Drosophila melanogaster: one gene and its partners. The gene in region 3 interacts genetically with the main gene of each other region. Each region holds a gene or a part of one and is shown on either strand. Other genes may lie near its edges.

Region 1 (6,438 bases), on a different chromosome or scaffold from region 3:
TATATGTATAAATATAATTTGGTTAATCTCATAGTAAAGCCACTTAGCGGCATCTTTCACCAGCGGTTCGTATAGAACTGATTGATGCCAAGCACATGCTTCTCCTCATGGTACTTTTGAAGGATATGTGTGATGACCGAGGTTGTGTCGTTGTCGCCACGCCACACGCGTATCGCATGTTCGTTTTCCAGGATGCCCAGAAATGCTGTAAACGTATGTGCAATTAGTTTCGATTTCAACTGTTGCTATCTTAATTAGATGGACATACCCAAAAAAGTCTTTGGATTGCTTAGGGTCATCTGGACTTGTGGCATTTCCAGGATCACCTTTAGGATGGGCGAATCGGGCGCCAAGCCTTCACGCAGTTCAATAACGCTACCCGATCGATTGTCGCACAACCATTCGCACGCGGACGCCTTGTTGTTGCCAGTTTTCTTCAGTGCCGCGAGCACTGCCGTCTCCTCGAAGCCCATTTCTGTAAGCGATTCCACAATCTCATCGCTGGGAGGGGAATCCCGGTGGCTGTAGATTCGTACAATCTCAATCAAGGCAGCAGTGTTTTCAATGGTTTCCTTTAAAAGAAAACGGTTGTCATTAAAAAGCGATAATCTAATTCCTACTTACATTATTGGTGACAATCGTGGAGGGTGAGATGGAAGATAGACTGTGCTGCATATTCATGCCCGGCGGTTCCTGTGGATTTTCCTCGTTTTGGTTCTGTATTAGCCACTCCATCGTGGTCGAGTAAATGCCATTGTGTGCTTTTAAGGCAAATGCGGCTAGCTCCCGCTTGAAGCCCATGTCCACGAGGCATTGCAGCGTATCCGCTTGCTGATTTCGGCGATTGATCAAACGTTGCTTTAGCATAGCTATCAGGCGTGGAGCATAAGGGCCAGCTCCTATAACCGCCGCAGAAGCTTGAGCCAAAGAGATCAACACCTTTCGCACATCGTATTGGATCTGGAAACGGAATAGGATTAGAATAATCAAAGGAGTAGCCAAGAATTGTACTCACATTCGACTGCTGAAAGATTTCATTAATATCGATGGTGGGCAGCTGGTTGCAATTGACGGGCACGTATCGGGTGGCGCTCTCCACCAGCTGCTCATTTGGGCCAGGAACCTCACGTATCCGTGAAACAGTCTGCGGCAGAGTATTGCGTCGTGGGGAGAGTATGAAAGTCTCATTGTTGCGAACTTTTAGCTGGGCCAGCGTGTCGCCCTCGTTAAGCTCGCCGCCGAAGTATTCCGCCCGATAGAGACGGTATCGCGGATTAAGATGCCGCACATCTGGGGCAAATAGCTGGATGGAGTCGGGATCGTCGCTCAGTTCCAGAATCACCTCACTCTTCAGCTCGTTTAGGCGCTTATTAACGTCCGTTTTGAAGATAAGAACCCGAGAGCTGGGGCAGATTACCCGCACCAGGATAGATTCACCTGGCCTGCTGGCATCGTCTGCCTCGCCAGAAGTAGAGCTACCTGGGCGATTTGTATGGGCTGATTTCCTAAGTGGATTCCGTTAAGAATGGACTTAATTAAAAGATTAGCATAATACCTAAGCATTACTAACCTGAGAAACAAACTGCGCAGTTTTTGCATAGTTTGTTTTAGTTGGATGGGTAGTGACAAACCAACGGAGAATTTCGAAAGACAAATATTTGTTTCGGGTGAGCACTTTGAAAAACATAAGCATATTCGTTCGGTTTGATAACTTACGCATTAGCCTGCTGTTGGTGAGTGGGCGTGGGCGAGTCCTGTGGCACCACCTTCTGATGCTCAGCACGTTCCTCTCGTCGCTGCAGCTGTAGCTCAAGGTGAATGCGACGTCGGCGAGCGGGCGATGGAGTCCTTAGGACGCAACTGCCCCCGCCCACAAGGGGCCGCGAATTGGAAGCGGATATCCCGCCATCCGTCTGCGTTTCAGATTCCGCCGTGTGGACATTCAACGAGGATCCGCTCAGGCTCTCCGCATCGCTGGCGTCTGTCCGCTGGCTGTGGCTATGACTGCTGCTCCGAGGGCTTTCGTCAGCCGGAGAACCACCGCTGCGCTTGCTACGCGCCAACCACTTGGCCCGTTTCTCGTTGAACTTCTCCCGCATCCAGGGTATCATCTTGGGTCTGCAGCTAGGTGTTTGTTACATTTTGCGGCACTTTTCGATGGCTATTTTGCATATTTCTCGCAAGTAAACAGAATCGATGCGTTATTGCAAAAAAAAAAAAAACGATTTTTATTTTTGTAAAGTCGATAGCAAGCAGCTGTTTGATGGTGCTGCCAGATAGGCCATATCCATGGGGAATACCCCTAATCTTTATAACGGCTATTTTGACATGAAAAACTATTTTAAAATATGTTATGTGGCTGAACTTTATAAATATATCGTGATATGTACATATATGAAGAAAACTATGTTATTCCTTATCGTTAGCCAATAACAATAACAGGAAAACATTGGGGTTAAATACTTTTGTTACTTTACTGCAATAAATAGTAGTTACCCGAATATAGTAATAGAATTAAAGAATTCATTTTCCAAAAACTATTAGTAATACAATCTAAGTGTCTTAATGGTAAATTGGTACCTGGTTAGACCCGTCATATAAAACCCAAACATACTTGAAATCCCAGTTTGAAATGGGTTTTCAAATTTCAGGTAAGAAAATTGGGTTTTGAATTTACCTACACCAAAGGTGCAAAAAGTGACATCTGTCGCAGATTTCAAATAAGCAGATGGCCAGATTAGGTCCCAACTGTAAAAGAACCAATAGTAAATCCTATGCCCTCAGCTTATTTTACTTAAGGCGGTATCGCTTGCAGATGACTCTCACTTTTATTACTTGCGAAACGAATCTGCTTGATAATGAAATAAAATGGTGCTCATACACATTATATTTAAAACCAATTTGCTAAAAATCATTTAAAAATTCTCACTAAAAATGTCCATTCACAATAGGCATACGTAAGCAGAGAGCATGGAAATCTTCCCATCCCTAGCTACTCCCATTGGCTCATCTCTATGCGCCGCAAGAAACGATAACGATTGCCACAAGCATCCAATCGATTGCCACACATTTTAATTATTGCTAGAACGCGCAGGGGCTTAAAAGTTAGTAAAATATGTTTGCCGCCCACTAAACGCCACAGCGTCGATCCCGTCGTGTTATCAGTGTGCCCCCGTCACCTCCGAAACGAAACAAAAGTGGGCGGAAAGCGTTTGTGTTTGCGTTTTGGCAAGTCGACTACTGGCATTTGTATATCGGTGTGTGCGTGTGCGTCACGTAGCATAAAACGCGAGAGTTTCTGTCCGTTAAGCAGCAGTGGAAGGTGGTGGAACGGGAACGGAAAAAGAAACGAAAAAAGAAATGTGAAGAGTGCGGCAAAAAAGCGAGGAAGACGAACGTGCGAAAAGAGTAAAAGCCGGAGCGACAACAGCACATGAATGGGATACACTCTCCTGCCAAAAGTTCTAACAAACAAACATACATACATACATATGCACCACTCACGAATGCAGCGGACAAACAGCACGACACGCCACACACACACACACCTTCAGATATTGTTTGAAGCGGCGGCACGGGAACAACAAAAACAGGCCAAGAATCTGAAGAATAAGCGCAGGTAAGCAAAAACAAGCAGAGAAAACTTTTCCCCTCGTGTGTGTATGTATACGGCGCGTGCCTGTTTGTGTGGGTGTGCGTGAGTGCGTGCGTGAGAGCACCGTTTACCTGTGTGGGAGGATTGTCGTTGGTGAGAGGGGGGTGGTGCAGGCGCATAAATATTCGCTTTCTTTGTTTATGTTTGTCATTGTCACAATTATTCTGCTACAAGCAACAGCTACGGCAACCCACTCCAACCGCTAATTTATTTGCCAATTTCTTTTACGCATTTGTTTATATGCCCGAAAGGCTATCCAGTGAACCAGTGTGCCCAGCTGCTTTGCGAAATTCATTGTTATGTTTTTTGTATATAACGGCGCTATCAGAAATATCTTATCGCACATTACAATTTGCATTTACTCAGCGCGAAAGTAAATTGTAATTGTCAATTAACTGTTTTGCTACACAGGAAGAAAAGGGTAATTTCAATTTAGTAGTAACTGTTGTATATATGTAGCCCTTATCACGTGATGAATGTGTATCCCACAAATATTTAGTTCAAATATTAGGTGATTCACTTTTTAAAAAACCGCGTCGTCATCAGTTTGGAAACGCCGTACAATAATTCTCACTTTAAGAAACCCTAATATTTCGCAATCCTTATGAGATTATCATAGTCCGAACAAACCTATTCAATTTCAATACGATCCGCTCTTCCTTAAGAATTTTAAAACCAAACCTTAGAGTAATGCTTTAGATGTCATACTAAATGTATTATTTTCTTTTCCAGCATTTTATTAAGCGCAGTTTCTTAAACAGAGCCACAAGAGGAGGTGTCGCATATATATGATTCCATTTTGTCTTCTTGGAGAGCAAACTTAAATATAATACCACATACATTTTAAGCCTAGATAGGTGAGTAAATCGAATATAGCGATTCCGAAAGGATCAGATAATAACCGTTTAAAATTTCAATTTTCAGGACATAACTTTAAGCTGAAACGAAGGCAGACAGACAACATGTGGAATTCCGAACCAACACATCGCCAGCACCATCAGCACAATGGAAATTCTACCTCGGGCGGACCGCCCGCCAAGCAATTGGGCATGACCTCGGCTATCAGTCTGGCCGAGCCACGGCCTGAGGATCTCCAGCGCACTGATGAGCTCCGCGGCTCACTGGAGCCGTACAACGTCTTTGAGAGCCAGGACGAGCTAAATCACCGTATGGAGATCCTGGCCAAGCTCAACACACTGGTCAAGCAGTGGGTCAAGGAAATCTCTGTCAGCAAGAACATGCCAGAGTCAGCCGCCGAGAAGCTTGGCGGCAAGATCTACACATTCGGCTCGTATCGATTGGGTGTCCATCACAAGGGTGCCGATATAGATGCCTTATGTGTTGCTCCGCGAAATATTGAGCGCACCGACTACTTTCAGAGCTTCTTTGAGGTGCTCAAGAAGCAGCCAGAGGTAACCGAGTGCCGCTCGGTGGAAGAGGCCTTTGTGCCCGTCATCAAAATGAACTTTGATGGCATCGAAATTGATTTGCTGTTTGCCCGTCTGTCCCTAAAAGAAATTCCTGATGACTTTGATCTACGGGATGATAACTTACTGCGGAATCTGGATCACCGTTCGGTGCGCAGCCTCAACGGCTGTCGTGTGACGGACGAGATCCTGGCCCTGGTGCCCAATATTGAAAATTTCCGCCTGGCACTGCGCACTATCAAATTGTGGGCAAAGAGTACGTGTTATTATATAAAATTCTTATAAATTAAATTCTAATTGTTCTCATTTTCTCTCTTAGAGCACGGAATCTACTCAAATTCATTGGGTTATTTCGGTGGTGTGACCTGGGCCATGTTAGTGGCCAGAACCTGTCAGCTGTATCCCAACGCTGCGGCTGCCACACTGGTGCACAAGTTTTTCTTGGTCTTTTCGCGCTGGAAGTGGCCTAACCCAGTGCTACTCAAGCACCCGGACAACGTTAATCTAAGATTTCAAGTAAGTCATAAAAACTTATCCAAATAGTCCGGTTCTCTAATAGATTTTCCTATTCTAGGTCTGGGATCCGCGTGTCAATGCCTCGGATCGGTATCATCTGATGCCCATTATTACGCCCGCATACCCACAACAGAATTCCACATTTAATGTGTCCGAATCCACCAAGAAGGTCATATTGACCGAGTTCAATCGCGGCATGAACATCACGGATGAAATCATGCTCGGTCGCATTCCGTGGGAGCGTTTGTTTGAGGCACCTAGCTTTTTTTACAGATACCGCCACTTTATCGTGTTGTTAGTCAACTCGCAGACGGCTGACGATCATTTAGAGTGGTGCGGCCTTGTTGAGTCAAAGGTGCGTCTGCTAATTGGCAACTTGGAGCGAAATCCCCATATTGCACTGGCCCATGTCAATCCCAAGTGTTTTGAGTTTAAGAAGGGCCAAAGTGCCAACAACTCACAAAACAACAGTGGAAATGAAGACGATCTGAAGCAGTCGCAGGGAAACCAGTCTGCTGTGACATCGGCACCCTTCTGCTCCATGTGGTTTATAGGCTTGGAATTCGAGCGATCGGAGAACCTTAACGTGGACCTCACCGAGAGCATACAAAACTTTACAGAGCATGTGATGATGCACGGCGTAAGTAAAAAATCGAAAATAATGTTTATTCAGTTGCTTATTACTTTTTTAATCTTGCAGGTTAACATCAAAATGCTTAAGGAAGGCATGACCATTGATGCCCGCCATGTAAAGCGCAAGCAGCTGTCGCTTTATTTAGACTCTGACTTCCTAAAACGTGAGCGCAAGTCAATGGAAAGTCACAATAATTTTAATAACAC
Region 2 (6,438 bases), on a different chromosome or scaffold from region 3:
GCGAGGGGGGTAGAAATCATTAACGTAAGTACAACTTCAAAAATAAATCGAAGGGATGAAAGCAAAATGCTGGTTTCGGTTGTAAATTAAGTGTGTGTGTGTTGCTTGTTAGCCAATTAGTCACAGGTTAGGTAACTAAAAACTAAATGTATTAGAATGTTATGTTAGACCCAAAGCCTCCAAGTTAAGTGTAAAGTGTTAAATGTTAGGGTGGTTTCTCCGCTTTATCGCTGTTTCTCTGCTTTTGGTGTCGGTGCGTGTGGCTGCTCTGGTTGTTAGTGGTTATTTACGAATGCATCTACACAATGCACTTTAGTTAGTTGTTTAGTTTTTAAGACGCCTTCACCATGTTATTATTGTAGACCTTGTTGTTATGCTTGCGACTGACTGTTGCTGATGTTTACTAATTTAGATGTTGTTATCGTAGGTTTGTTTCGGCGAAGATGTTTCAGTTGTTTCTGCTGTTGTGATGATGCTGGTGATTAGTTCATTACCTTCTCTGGCTGCTGCTCCGAACCACCGCCAGGGCCATTTGGTTTCCTCTGGCGACGTGGACGTGGCTGTTGTGGGCGTGGCGGTCCCTGGCCTTGAACTGCAACAGAATAATATTAATAATAATATATACCAATTATCTAATAGCACAAAGTTCACTCACTGTATTCTCCGCCGTCGCGGCGTGGTGGCGGTGGACCATTGTTGAAGTTGCGTCGGAAGAAGCGCCTCTGGGGTCCGCCCGGTGGGCCTCCACCGCGACGTGGTCCCTGACCCTCGCCGCGCTGCAGACCCTCGGGATTCTGATCGTGGACACCGGGCTCGGCGCTGCCGTCACCGCCGCCCAGGCCGCGTCTCGGCTGACGCAGATAATAGTTGTTGTAGCGCCGGGGGCCACCGGGAGCTCCACCAGGCGGTCCTCGGGGGCCACCTCGAGGTCCTCCGGGCGGTCCACCGGGTGGTCCTCGGCGGAAGTTCTGTCGTGGTTGACGCGGGCCGGACTGCACCTGCTGCTGCGGCTGCCCGTCAACGATTGGTGCCGCCTGCTGCTGTTGCTGCTGGGCCGACGATTCGGCGTCTTCGCCTTCCACTTCGCCATCCTTGCGGCGATTCTTCTTCATCCAGGGACGGAAGTTACGGCGCTTGTCCGCTGCAAACTGACTGCCCCGCACCGGCTCACCGGAGGGACCGGTCACGTTGGCCGCCTCGTTGCCCTTCTCACCAATGACCACGTCGAACTCAACGACCTCACCGTCGCCCACCGAGCGGACCGCCTTTTTGGGGTTGTTCCGCGCAATGGCGCTCTGGTGCACAAAGACATCCTCTCTGGTGTCGTTGCGGTTGATGAAGCCGTAGCCGCTCTTCACGTTGAACCACTTGACGGTGCCGGTGACTTTGGTGGCTGCAATGGGAAAGAGTAGAAATTATAAACAATTGGGGATAATAGTGGGATTCAATATTTTTGGCGGTACTTATTCTACAAACGTGTGATCATTTAATTGATTTCAATGGTATAATACTTGTTTGGGATCAGTTGCAATCATTCCTTTATCAAATATTATAATCCTTTAAACATTATACATGCAACAAAAATATTAGGGAACAGTAGGGATGCACAGCGAGCTGACTTCTAAAATACAAATAATTCTACATAAGAAACTTAAATTATACAAAAGGGGTAGTTTTGAGATAATACTTTGCATTTTTTTTTTATTATAAAGGAGGGGCAAAACGCAATACATCTGAAACTAAACTAATACGCAGTTTGAAAACTCATTGAAGCGTGCAATAACATTGAAAGACGTTTTATAACCACAAATTATTGGTTAACAATTATTTAAAACTATGGTTACCAAAATTTCGAATAAACCATATAAGTATGCATATAATATGTTGATTTACGCGAAAATATAGTGGCATCCCAAATTATTTGGCAATATATTGTAATAGTCGCCGAATATTATTGTATCTTATTGGTTGCATTATGGTCTCGTGTTTTGAAATCGCCTTATAGCCATGCTTCCATGCGTTTTAGTGTGTGTGTGCAAATAGATGTACCAAAACAATGAACACACACATCCACACCCGGCTGTCTGCCCTCTCGTTCGCACTCCCGCTGCGCGCGCATTAACAAATTGGGTTGCCCTGGCTCGCTCTGCATGTGTGTATGTGTGTGTGTGTGTACACCTATGGGGGGGCATTTTTTAAAGAGGCGAAGCGGGTGGGGTTGGTGGTTGGGTGGGTGGAAAGACAGACGACCGGCAAAAGGCAGAATTTTCAATTTGGTTAGCCGGCGGCGCGAGCGTTCGTGCACATACATATATACATGCGTTGCGTTGCCTTTGGCCGCACAAAATGGCCGACGCGCGTATATTTTAAGACTCAAAACACACACACACACACGCATACAGGGAGGCATGTTTCTTGTTCTTTTTTCCTCCTTTTTTTCATTGCTATTTTGGTAGCAGCCGCCATGTGTTCGCGGCACATGAATGAAATTGGTTGGGAATTGGGTTTAACATGCGAGTTTCAGCCTTACCGATGACTTCCTTGGTGGGCGGAGCGGGCTGGCCCTGCTGTCCCTGCAGCTCGTCCAGCGGCTCCTGCTCGTGATCCTGCTCCTGCGGATTCGGCGGATTCTGCTGCTGCTCCGGCTGCTGCTGCGCCTGCTGCTGTTCGGCGGCCAGTGGCTTACTCTCCGCGGCATCAGCCATCGTTTGTCGTGGTTTTGTTATTTGTTGTTCGGCGACGACGAAAACGAAAAGCGGGAAATGCTGCTGCTGCTGTTGATGATGGTGGTGCTGCTGCTGCTGGTGTTGTTCGTGTCTGCCCGGCTGGTATTCGGGGTCTTGGGCACTCTCTCAACTGCCACTAACCACTTTGGATGTTGTTTTTGAGTGTGATCTTAAAACACTCGCCACTCGCAGGGTTTTCTTTGCCTTAGCGATTCTATTTTGTTCGCAAGCTCCGGAAGTGAAACATGACAGCCGGAGGCAGGGTTGCTGGTGATCGGACTATCGATGGGTGCTATCGATGCTCTGATACTGGGGGTCTCCAGTGTGCTGTTACGCGCGGAATGTTAAGCCATAACAACATAAAAAGCCGTTACATTTAAATTTACAAGAAAGGTTAATTGGAATAAATGGTTAAATTCATTAAATGGTTAGAATAATATAAAACTACAGTTTTATCATTAAAATGTATAAAACAACATGTCCAACTAAACAGCGGTGAAATTTATTGAAAACTTAGTATAGTATTTACAATAACAAACATATATGTACCTTTTATTTAGTAATTTTTAATATTTTTAGTTAGCTTGTTCTAGCTTCAACCGCATTCCGAAGTGTCTGTCTCCGCCAAAACCAATGAGCGTGCTCCACTGCAAATCCCAAGCAGCTTATGCCAATCCCCACGGACCAGAGATAGAAGGCGCCCTGCAGGATGTCCAGAGTGAGAACCACCTTTTTGTTACGAATCGCCAACTCGTTGGAGCCGGAATCCGTGTCCGTCTGGTCGCCCAGATCCTCGAGAAACTCCTCAGCATCCGGCGACGCACCAACCCGGGTGATCAGATCCATTTGACGCCAGTGCTCAAAGAAGCCGTGCTCGAGGAAGCCACTGTACAGAGATTCCAAGCGGTGCAGAAAGGGCGATCCTCTTGGTAGGATGTAGGTGCATATCATAGAGCGCAGATATTCCCGGGCGATGTGGTAGGCTGGTCGCTCTGCCTGCGAGTCATAGGTGATGGCCAGAAAGTCACGGGCGTGAAAATCCCGCATGATAAAGGCCGCTCGTCGATCCCTGCGCCGGACCACCGGCTGGTAATAGGATGTGGCTATTCCCAGTGGCAGCTGGCGACTACGGTTCTCCAGCAGACCGTATTGGTGCTCCGTCAGGGCGCTCCTAACTGCGTCATACATCGTGGTCACCGCATAAATGTGCACATCCAAATGTACCAAATCGTCCACTCGGTCCACCTGCTCCTCGTAGCTTGGTCGCACAAATCCGGACTCCAGTTTGGCAAAGTAGATGGTGGACAGGACGTAGCTGAAGAGGATCCAACCCATGAGGAACGTTCTCATCGAGCTGAAGGAGGATAGCCTGCCCGCCGGTTCACCCACATGTGTCTTGCCGAACATCTCGAGAATCTCATACCACGTTGCCTGAAACTGGATGACTCCGCGACGGGGAATTCTTCGCTGCAGACGTTGCATCACCCAGAAGACCAGCACCACAACCAAAAGGGTGACCAAGAGCAAGTACCACACAGTTCGCCGAAAGACACGCACGAAGATCAGGTACTCCGGCTGGATTGCGGAGGCGGGCACGACCAGGTGCAGGTTGCGACGGGTATAGGGATACAGCACCTCAACCGCTGGCCAAATGCAGTCGAGCACGAAGCGGGAATTGGGTGCAAAGTGGGTGTGACCACCGACTATGTCGCTGACCACGCCGGTGTAGTTTCCATTCGGAAGGCAACGACCGTAGGATTCGTTATCCTCCGGGAAGACATATGTTACTGAGGCATTCAACATCTCGCCAACAACTCGGGCCGCCACTCCATCCACTGCCTGATAGCCAGCTGTCTCCACAGGACTCCTGGGCATCGCCATCAACGGATCCGTAAACATGGAGAAACGCAATGGGTAGCCGCGCAAGTCCTTCACCTTTCTTGCGTACGGCACTTCGCCATCCAGCCGCTGAATCACTTGGAGACCACCCCAAGCAAAGGGATCAAAGTCAAAGGTGCCATTTTCCCTGCCGGTAATGGCCAATCCGTAGAGCAGCTTCTTGGCCCAACTGCCGCGAAAAAGTCGCAGTAACTGATGCCTTCCGGCATTTGGCCAAACAAACAGATACTTGTGCATATGCTTGCGCCTCTGGTGAGGATTCAACATGTCCAGGATGCGGCGTACCAAGGAATCACCCTTTTCGGCAGCCGGAATTTGAAAGATGCTTAGGCTGTCCGTTCGTCTAAATGGTTCCAGCTCATGTGCTTCCATGTTCCGTGTGATTACGGGCAGTCTACTGCCCACACACCGATAGAGATCCAATTCCAAGGCAGAGTAATCCGCATCGAAGGATGCCGGGCAGCTGGCACAGCGGTACAGATAGGTCACCTGGACATTCTGCTCTACGGCTATGCGACAGGCAATCTCGGCAAGGGCATAAATGCCAGGAAGATACCATTGGAGCAGCAATCCAACCAAAAACTTCATGTTCTACGAGCAGACTAACCAGTGAAATATCCTTTGGGTGAACACAACACCTGTAGAGGATTTCCCATGGGAGCCGTAATTCCCAATTAGGAAAAGCGATGCGTGAGCAGTTCATTAGTTGGCTAATATTTTTGGGGTAACTTGAAAAAAGTTATCAAAACTTGATTTCTACAAAATAATTATAAAAGGAATAAAAGGACATTACAGAAAATGAATGAAAGTAAACGGAAGGTTTGCAATAAAATGGGTTTTTTTTTATTTGAGTTTCTAAAAAGCAATAAGATTATGCATTTATAAAAGAAATCATTTTCTTTTGATTAGCAACTAAACATTTGAACAACATTTTGCATTAATGTATACTTCTAATGATAAGGTGTTGTTTATTCTAAATCGGATGAATCATATTTTGAAGACTTTGCGAATGACGCAGCAATGTGATCACCTTGAATAGACGAGACTCATATGTTCTCGAAGTCTGAATAATATAAAAATATATATTTCAAGATATACCAATACCAATTTCAAAACTTGAAACGCAAATCTAAAAAAAAGTATGCCATGATTATGGTTTCGGGTTTTCATAAACTATTTTCACCCGTTTCGGTTAGGTTTCTTTTCATATCTTTCGAGTAACCGGACAAAATCATTGAAAAATTTCTAAATTTTCAAAATTTGTTTATTTCGAATATAAAAGTTTTTTAACCATGGATAGGGGTACGTCTTCAAATCAGCCCGTAAGTATTTCATTTCTCTTTTGGTCTTTCAAATTTATCTCCGTGCTTTTCTGTAGATCCTGACCACCTGTGAGATGTATCCGCGCCGAAGGAACACGGAGTTCTACAGATCCCCGGAACCGAGAGTCTCCTGCCAAAACCAACGAGCGGAACATCCGGGGCAGATGCTCAACGTGACTCCCGACGAGAATCGGGAGGCCGTACGAAGACTTCCACGAATCCAGCCGCCAAATAATTTGGATAGTGTTTATCTACGCAATGGTTACTTTTCGTAAAATAAATTTTGTAGATTCTGTGTAAACTAAAATAAAGATATGTACGTATAGATATACTAATGAGATCATATGCATTTGCATAGAACGTCATAATTTCCTATCCTGTAATCATATATATTTTTATTTTGAAGGACATTTAATAGCAGTATAAAAACCGAGGACTGAAATGGGTCTGATTGATTGATATGTTCTCCATTGACCTGCGGATCATTCGAT
Region 3 (6,438 bases):
GGGCTCATTCCATTGGCCAAAAGGCCTGATACCCTCTCGACCAGGCCACCTTTCGTCATCCGCTCAACCACAATAATGGTGTGCATCAGCCGGAGTTCAGGGGGTCACAAAGGGGTGAGTGGGTGTCGTCGGACGATGGGCGGTGTCGGCGGTGCCGCATCACAATCACGCATGCCGCACCACTGCCAATGCATTAAATGCTAGTTGAGCCCAGTAGTGTGTGCAACGTCTGGCGAAGTAAATTCAATTGAATTTTGCACTCGTTTTCTGTTTTCAGTTTTCCATTTTTTCTCCCATTTTCCGCACTCTTCTTTTATTTATTTTTTTTTTTTGTATTATTCCTTTCTCATTTTTGTTAAATGCCACAGGCTCATATTGCAATGGGCTACGCCCTAATACCAAGCACCACTACCCAATCCACAAAACGCGGCAGTGCAACAAACGCAACGCACCCTGGTTGATATTTTCTTGGTTGTTATCCTTCTCGCTGGCGGCGGGCGTGTGATTTGCTTGGTATCGACATTTTAATGATGTGCCCTGGGGCTGCTGCCACCGCATTGTTGGAGGACGCCTTGGCCGCCTTGTACTTTTGGCATTTGCGCGAAATGTCGAGACATTCCAATAGTCTGCCAAGGATCAGAACCAGAACCAGAAGCTGGAGCCGTACTATTGGGTAGTGGGAGTGAAAATGGCAGGCTATGGCGGCCTGGACATACCAAGTTGGCCTGCGGCATATACTTAAGTGTACATAACCAACTGTTAATGCCACACCATCGCCCAGCACAATGATTTGCTCGAAATGATTGCCGCCCTCTCTTGAGCATTCACTCGAGTTTGGGTTTGAATAATGCCAATGATTTGCCCGCTGGCAATCAAATTTGAGCCGGCTAATAACTGGCAATTGCAGGCAGTCGTTTAGGGAAAACGGCCAAGCATTCACTTAATTATACTATTAGTGTAATATTTATGGGCGTGTGTAATCAACAGGTAAAGCAGATAGTTTAGTTTGCTTTAAGCATAGTTTACCCCCACGAGCATAGATCTAATTTAATAGTAAGGTTCTATGATTAATTATGCACAATACAGTAATGTTGGCAAGTTTTAATGCCAGACATATTGCTACACAAAATCCCGGTGTCATTGATATGGACTGACCTGCACTTGGACAGTGAACCAAGACGTTGGTGCAAGGACAATAAAGGAAAATTTTGTACGAAACGATGTTACAGCAGGATATGGACTTTTGCAGAGCATGACATCACACATCCTACGGCTTAAAATGGCAAATAAAATGTACAGCATTTCTTATGACCGACAAATTTTCCGCTGTGGCCCCCACCATTATTTATAGGCATTTTAAACAGCAGGCAATGCCGCAATGGAAATGAGTGCAAAAAATATAAATAATACGGAAAGCAGGACATTAAGAACACGCCACGTTGGCAAGAAGTAGACGCATTTTAGACATTACCAGCAAATAAATATGAATGTATAGCAATACGGCAAGGGAAGGGGGGGGGGGGTATAGACACTGCTTACACGACGAAATTGACATTTTGCATTTAGTTATTCAGTTGGGTCTATATTTTGATCTTTTTTTTCTACCATTTTGCTGCCGCCGCTGGCAGCCACAATAAAATGAGAAGAAAAATTGCATAATAACCCCTTTGAAATCGTCGGATTATCCTTAAATATTTGTGTAAACATTGTAACAAATGCGCAGCTCCATTGTCAGCCAACTCGGGCCATGGATGCAGCACAGAACCAACCTCCATCCTTCATCCTCCACCTCTGTTTCCATCTCCGCCTCTTTGAAAGCCATCCCCAATCCATTGACGTAGTCAAGGCGGCTTTTCCTCAACCCCTGTGCGTCGTCTGTCGTCAAATGCCTGAATGATGAGCAATAGACGGGTCCGGGTCTCCTGTCACAGTCGACAATGAGCAACTTTTTCCAAAGGCGGAAGACGTGGCAAGGATACAAACGGGCCGCGTAGCCAACAATGGGACCAAGTGCTCCGCCGAGGAGGGAAAGCGTCTTAAAAAACCTGTCACACATATTGACAGTCGCTTTAGGATCGCTTAAATCAAGTCTGGGGTCGGCGGGGGCATGAGCCGAGTCGTCGGGTTGGTTAGCATGTGCGTATCAGCATAAAGGATATTGTAATCATTACATGTAATTCACATTTGGGGGTGAAGGGCAATTGCCGCAACTGACATAATTTTGATGTGTATTGATATGAAGCGGATTGTCAGGCAGGATAATTAATTTTCCAGAGGATAAAGAAAAACTCAGGAAGGGACATGTAATATTTTGAGCCATAAGAGGCTAATAGCTGTCTGCTTGTACTGTCACTGGAGTTTTAAGATTATTAGACAAACTTTTACGAATCTTTAAAGACATAAAAATCTGGATACTAATGGCAGTTGTAAAGCGTGCCCAACAACTTTAGCTCTGTTTTTTATCCGCTATTCCAATGCTTCCATTTGCTCTCTGCGCTTTTTCTGTACCGCTCAGTGTCCTAATCGAATCATCTCATTTAAGTGAATTAAAAAACATATAAAGGCGAGCAAAATTAAATCACGCAACTATTTTGCGCAACAAAGAGTACAATTAAAAGCCCACCCGGCGGCAAAAAGGACGAAAAGGAGGCGCAGTGGTGTCTGGCGCAGAAAACGCCGCAAGTTTAATCGAATTTAACTACTCATAATGTGCAACAGACGTTGGCGGATGGGGCTGTTTCAGTGGGTGGTGGGGTGGTTTGAAAAACTCTCAGAAGTGTAGGCGTAAAGTTGGGCACTAATCTTATTAGGATCATCCCGGGCCAGCCACTCACGAATCCCAATTGGGAAGATGAACTGAAAAAGCCAGCTGATGTAGAGCTCTCTCACTCGCTCGGTCGTTCTCTCTCTCCCTCTTTCTCTCTAGCCGACTTTATTCGTACGTGAGCGTTTCAATTACCGCTCTGGAGTGCGAATGGGTTTTATTATTATTTACATACCTGTTGCAGCAGGGGCATTGTTTTGAATAAAAATTCCAATTTCCACACTTGTTCACGTTGCGCTCCTTGTTCGTTCGTGCTCGTTCGCGTTCGTTCGTGTTCGGCAGGAGCAGCATCCGCCAACTGACAAAGCGGCAAAACAGATGTCACCACTTCCGCCTCTCGTACCTTCCCTTTCCCACTCCCACTGCCGGCGGAGAGCCCGTTCGCGCACCGTCTCTCTCGCCCTCTCTCTTTCACTCCTGCGCAGGCCTTTCGGTTGGAGTTCGCTGCGGTTCGAGTCCAAGTTCGTGTTGGATCTGGTTGGAGTTTGAATTGGATGCCGAGCCTCGGGCAAGGAATCTGGTTTTTGTTGTTGTTTATTGGAGCTCCACAGGATAACGCGACTGAGCGAGCGAGAGGGGCGAAGGCGAACCAAGACAGCTGGCAGATGTGGCCGTATCAGCAGCAAATAGTCATCGATTCATTCCGCCTCGTCAACGATGCAAATTTCCAAAGGCCTGAAATATCATAAGCATGAATTAATTATAAGAGTACTCTTCTTTGTAGTTTCCAAATCAGTGGAGTTTAAAGAAAACACACGCGTACGCACTTGAGCGTTAAATGCCGTAAATCGATCAAGGCGTATCCCTCTCTCTCCTACTCTCTATGACACTGTCCCGGCTAACTGTAATTAACTGTAATCCAGGGTCGTTTACTTTAAAGGGGGCTTTTATGGCCGCCAATAACACAAACTATGCATTATCCTTTCGGGTGGTAATCCTTTCGGAAGCTGTGTGTTGAGCGAACCTATTATTAGAGCCATAAATCAGCATGAAATGAGCAGTGGCAGCGAAGTTGGAGTTGTAAAATGGAGATGGAGATGGGGCCAAGCCCTGTCTCGCCCTTTCTCTACTCTCTCCATCTCACTCTCGCGCTCTGTGCGTAGAATAATGGGTAGTAAGAATAAGTGTGCACACAGAAAGAAAAATTGCTATACTTTCATGAATTGCACTGTTATTCATATTTCTTTTCAATTGATACCGGACAATCCAAAAATCTATTATTGTGCACACCTTACATTTTATTAACGAATTAAGACCCCGCGCAATTCCAGCTTCATTTCCTCTGTGTGGCCAAGGCGGCGATTGATTGCCGTAGTTTTTGGAGAGATGACGTGAGCCAAAGGCAACAGAAAAAAAAACAGGACCAACGGCACATAATAGTAGTGTGTAGTTGTAAAGTTGTAAAATACGCACGTCGAGAATGAGAGAACGAAAAATGAGCCGCTGCCCTGTTTTTCTTCACCTTCTTGTTACCAACTAATTTGAACTGCACCATTTTTCGGTCAACAATTTCTAGTGCCGGCTAACACTGATACACCAATACATACCCAGGACTCGCAAAAACACGCGGATGGCGCATAAATTCGTGTGAATTTTATTTTAATTCCGCACTTGCAATCGCATCCCGTTTCTTTTGTCGTCCACCAAGCACATTTTTACACACACTCGCACACACGCCGCCAGGAACCGTTACTTCTGCTTTGCACGCCCTTCGCCGTTTTCCGTTTCTCCTTCCGATGCTGTTTCGCCAAACTACTCACTCACGGACGCATTTTTTACTATTAAACTATTTTGATTGTTGAAAATCTTTGCGACTGTGGTATGGCACCACATTAACTCGAATTTAAAATTGAGCCTTAAATTTGAGCGGACCCTGCCGCGGCAATACAAATTAATAGAACAAACTAAATTATCATCCCGTGATATCTTTTATTTTGGAATTTTAGTCGGGATTTTTTGATATTATGGCCACGCCACGGCGTGCAACGCTGCTTAAATAACCTTTTTCGCCTGGCTCTGTCGAACCAACCGCATGCAACCGCTCTCTTGAACTTAAAAGCGCTCATTTGTTTGAAACAACTTGTGTTCGACGATTCCTCGACAAAAAAAGAAACAGTCATTAAAATTCGCACAAATGGCTGAACTATTTAAATAATTTATTTAATTTGTATTTTCATTTAAAGTTTTGGTTTTAAAATAATTTTTATATTTCCATTAATTTTATTACTTATTGGTAAAGCATTAACAGCAACCAAATTTTTTTCACTGGCGTAAACAACTGTTTCCAGTGAATGGCAACAATACAGCTGTTTTGCACAGAGTTGCCACTATGTTCAAATGAGTTATTACCAGCGGCGGAAAACTTGTATCAAATTTATAACAAAAATACAATTCTGCGTTAATAAAAATGCCCGGGGACACGGAAAACACAAGCACTGACACCACCAATGAACACATCGACCTGGCCTTGTACCGGCAGCTGGTCAAACAATTCATAGACATGGTAAGACAAAAAAACCAAAAGCCGGCAAGCAGAGCCTGAGTGCAAATTCAATTGCATTTTTAGCGTCGCTACTCCACAGCGCTTTTTTGGGCAGAAAAGGTGGCCGTGCTTGGTGGCCTGGAACCCAGGGATATTTACTACCAGGCGCAGTGCATGTACCTACTGGGGGAATACCATCGTGCTGCTCACACAATACAGCATCACAAGCTAGAGAAGAATTCACTGCCATGTTTTAACCTACTACTGGAAAGTCTCTATGCGGCCAAGGAGTTTACCGAGGCGGCCAATGTCATCCAGAATGTGGAGGTGGAAGTCATGACCACATCGCTGATCAACCAGCCCGTTGATGCAAGCAGTGGCTGCTATCTGGAAAGCAACAGTGTCTTTGGTGGCGAGGAGAATCACAGAAATGAACTGCTCTCATCCATTTACCTAATGAAGGGCAAAGTTTATGAGGCCCTGGACAATCGCGGCATGGCAATGGACTTCTATGTTCAGGCCCTTCACAAATCCATATACTGCTTTGAGGCCCTGGAGGCGCTGGTTCAACACGAAATGCTGATGGCTTGGGAAGGTGAGCATGCACCTACTTTCTGAATACAGTATAATCTCAACTTAATCATTGCAGAGTTTGAGCTAATGCATCATTTACCGCTGGCACAACAATCCAGCGAAGCTGATGCCAAGTTTATACTAAAACTTTATGAATCTCGCCTGAAGAAGTACTACGAGTTGATTTCCGCACGCAATGCTGAGGAGATGTCCCCCATTGTTAATCCTGACATACTCCAGTTTATCAAGGAATTTACAGCTCGAGTGCAGCAGAGCGGGTCGTCAGACACACAAATGCCCAAGGTGAGCGCCGTCAAGGTGCCGCTTACGCCCAGCCAGTTCATGTCGCCCGCACAGAAGTCAGTTCTCCTGATATTTCTAATATTTAGCGCATTCTTATTGAAGTTGTATCTTTAAGAGTCCTGGAAGATCTAAAGGCGCCCACATTTTCCCTACAAACTAGTCTCTCAAAGGCTTCTTCCCTCATTGATGCTTCTCACCGGTCCATGTTTGACTCATCCAGTAGGAGGCGATCGCGTGATCATGACACGGACACATT

The links.
Region 1: of orb (region 3) and hrg, changing one enhances a phenotype caused by changing the other (phenotypic enhancement), as found in Drosophila melanogaster (2 studies listed by BioGRID).
Region 2: of orb (region 3) and yps, changing one suppresses a phenotype caused by changing the other (phenotypic suppression), as found in Drosophila melanogaster (2 studies listed by BioGRID).

Annotation. Positions count from the first base shown.
Region 1 is NT_033778.4:19,666,428-19,672,865, reverse strand, and holds the start of hrg (hiiragi), read left to right. Parts: upstream 1-3,033; 5' UTR 3,034-3,619; exon of another isoform or gene 3,620-3,748; intron 3,749-3,797; exon of another isoform or gene 3,798-4,076; intron 4,077-4,387; 5' UTR 4,388-4,512; intron 4,513-4,579; 5' UTR 4,580-4,617; coding exon 4,618-5,338; intron 5,339-5,401; coding exon 5,402-5,598; intron 5,599-5,656; coding exon 5,657-6,238; intron 6,239-6,298; coding exon 6,299-6,438. Other genes in the region: Kpc2 (Kip1 ubiquitination-promoting complex subunit 2), read right to left, coding at 57-205, 269-572, 625-960, 1,016-1,505, 1,571-1,582, 1,717-2,111.
Region 2 is NT_037436.4:12,122,182-12,128,619, forward strand, and holds the start of yps (ypsilon schachtel), read right to left. Parts: upstream 2,970-6,438; 5' UTR 2,706-2,969; coding exon 2,531-2,705; intron 1,394-2,530; coding exon 656-1,393; intron 593-655; coding exon 495-592; coding exon of another isoform or gene 483-494; exon of another isoform or gene 1-482. Other genes in the region: Ir68b (ionotropic receptor 68b), read right to left, coding at 3,306-5,213; CG34241 (uncharacterized protein), read left to right, coding at 5,918-5,947, 6,004-6,222.
Region 3 is NT_033777.3:23,276,060-23,282,497, forward strand, and holds the start of orb (oo18 RNA-binding protein), read right to left. Parts: upstream 4,798-6,438; 5' UTR 4,372-4,797; intron 3,500-4,371; 5' UTR 3,018-3,499; coding exon 3,000-3,017; intron 1-2,999. Other genes in the region: Cdc16 (cell division cycle 16), read left to right, coding at 5,232-5,327, 5,391-5,901, 5,956-6,238, 6,298-6,438.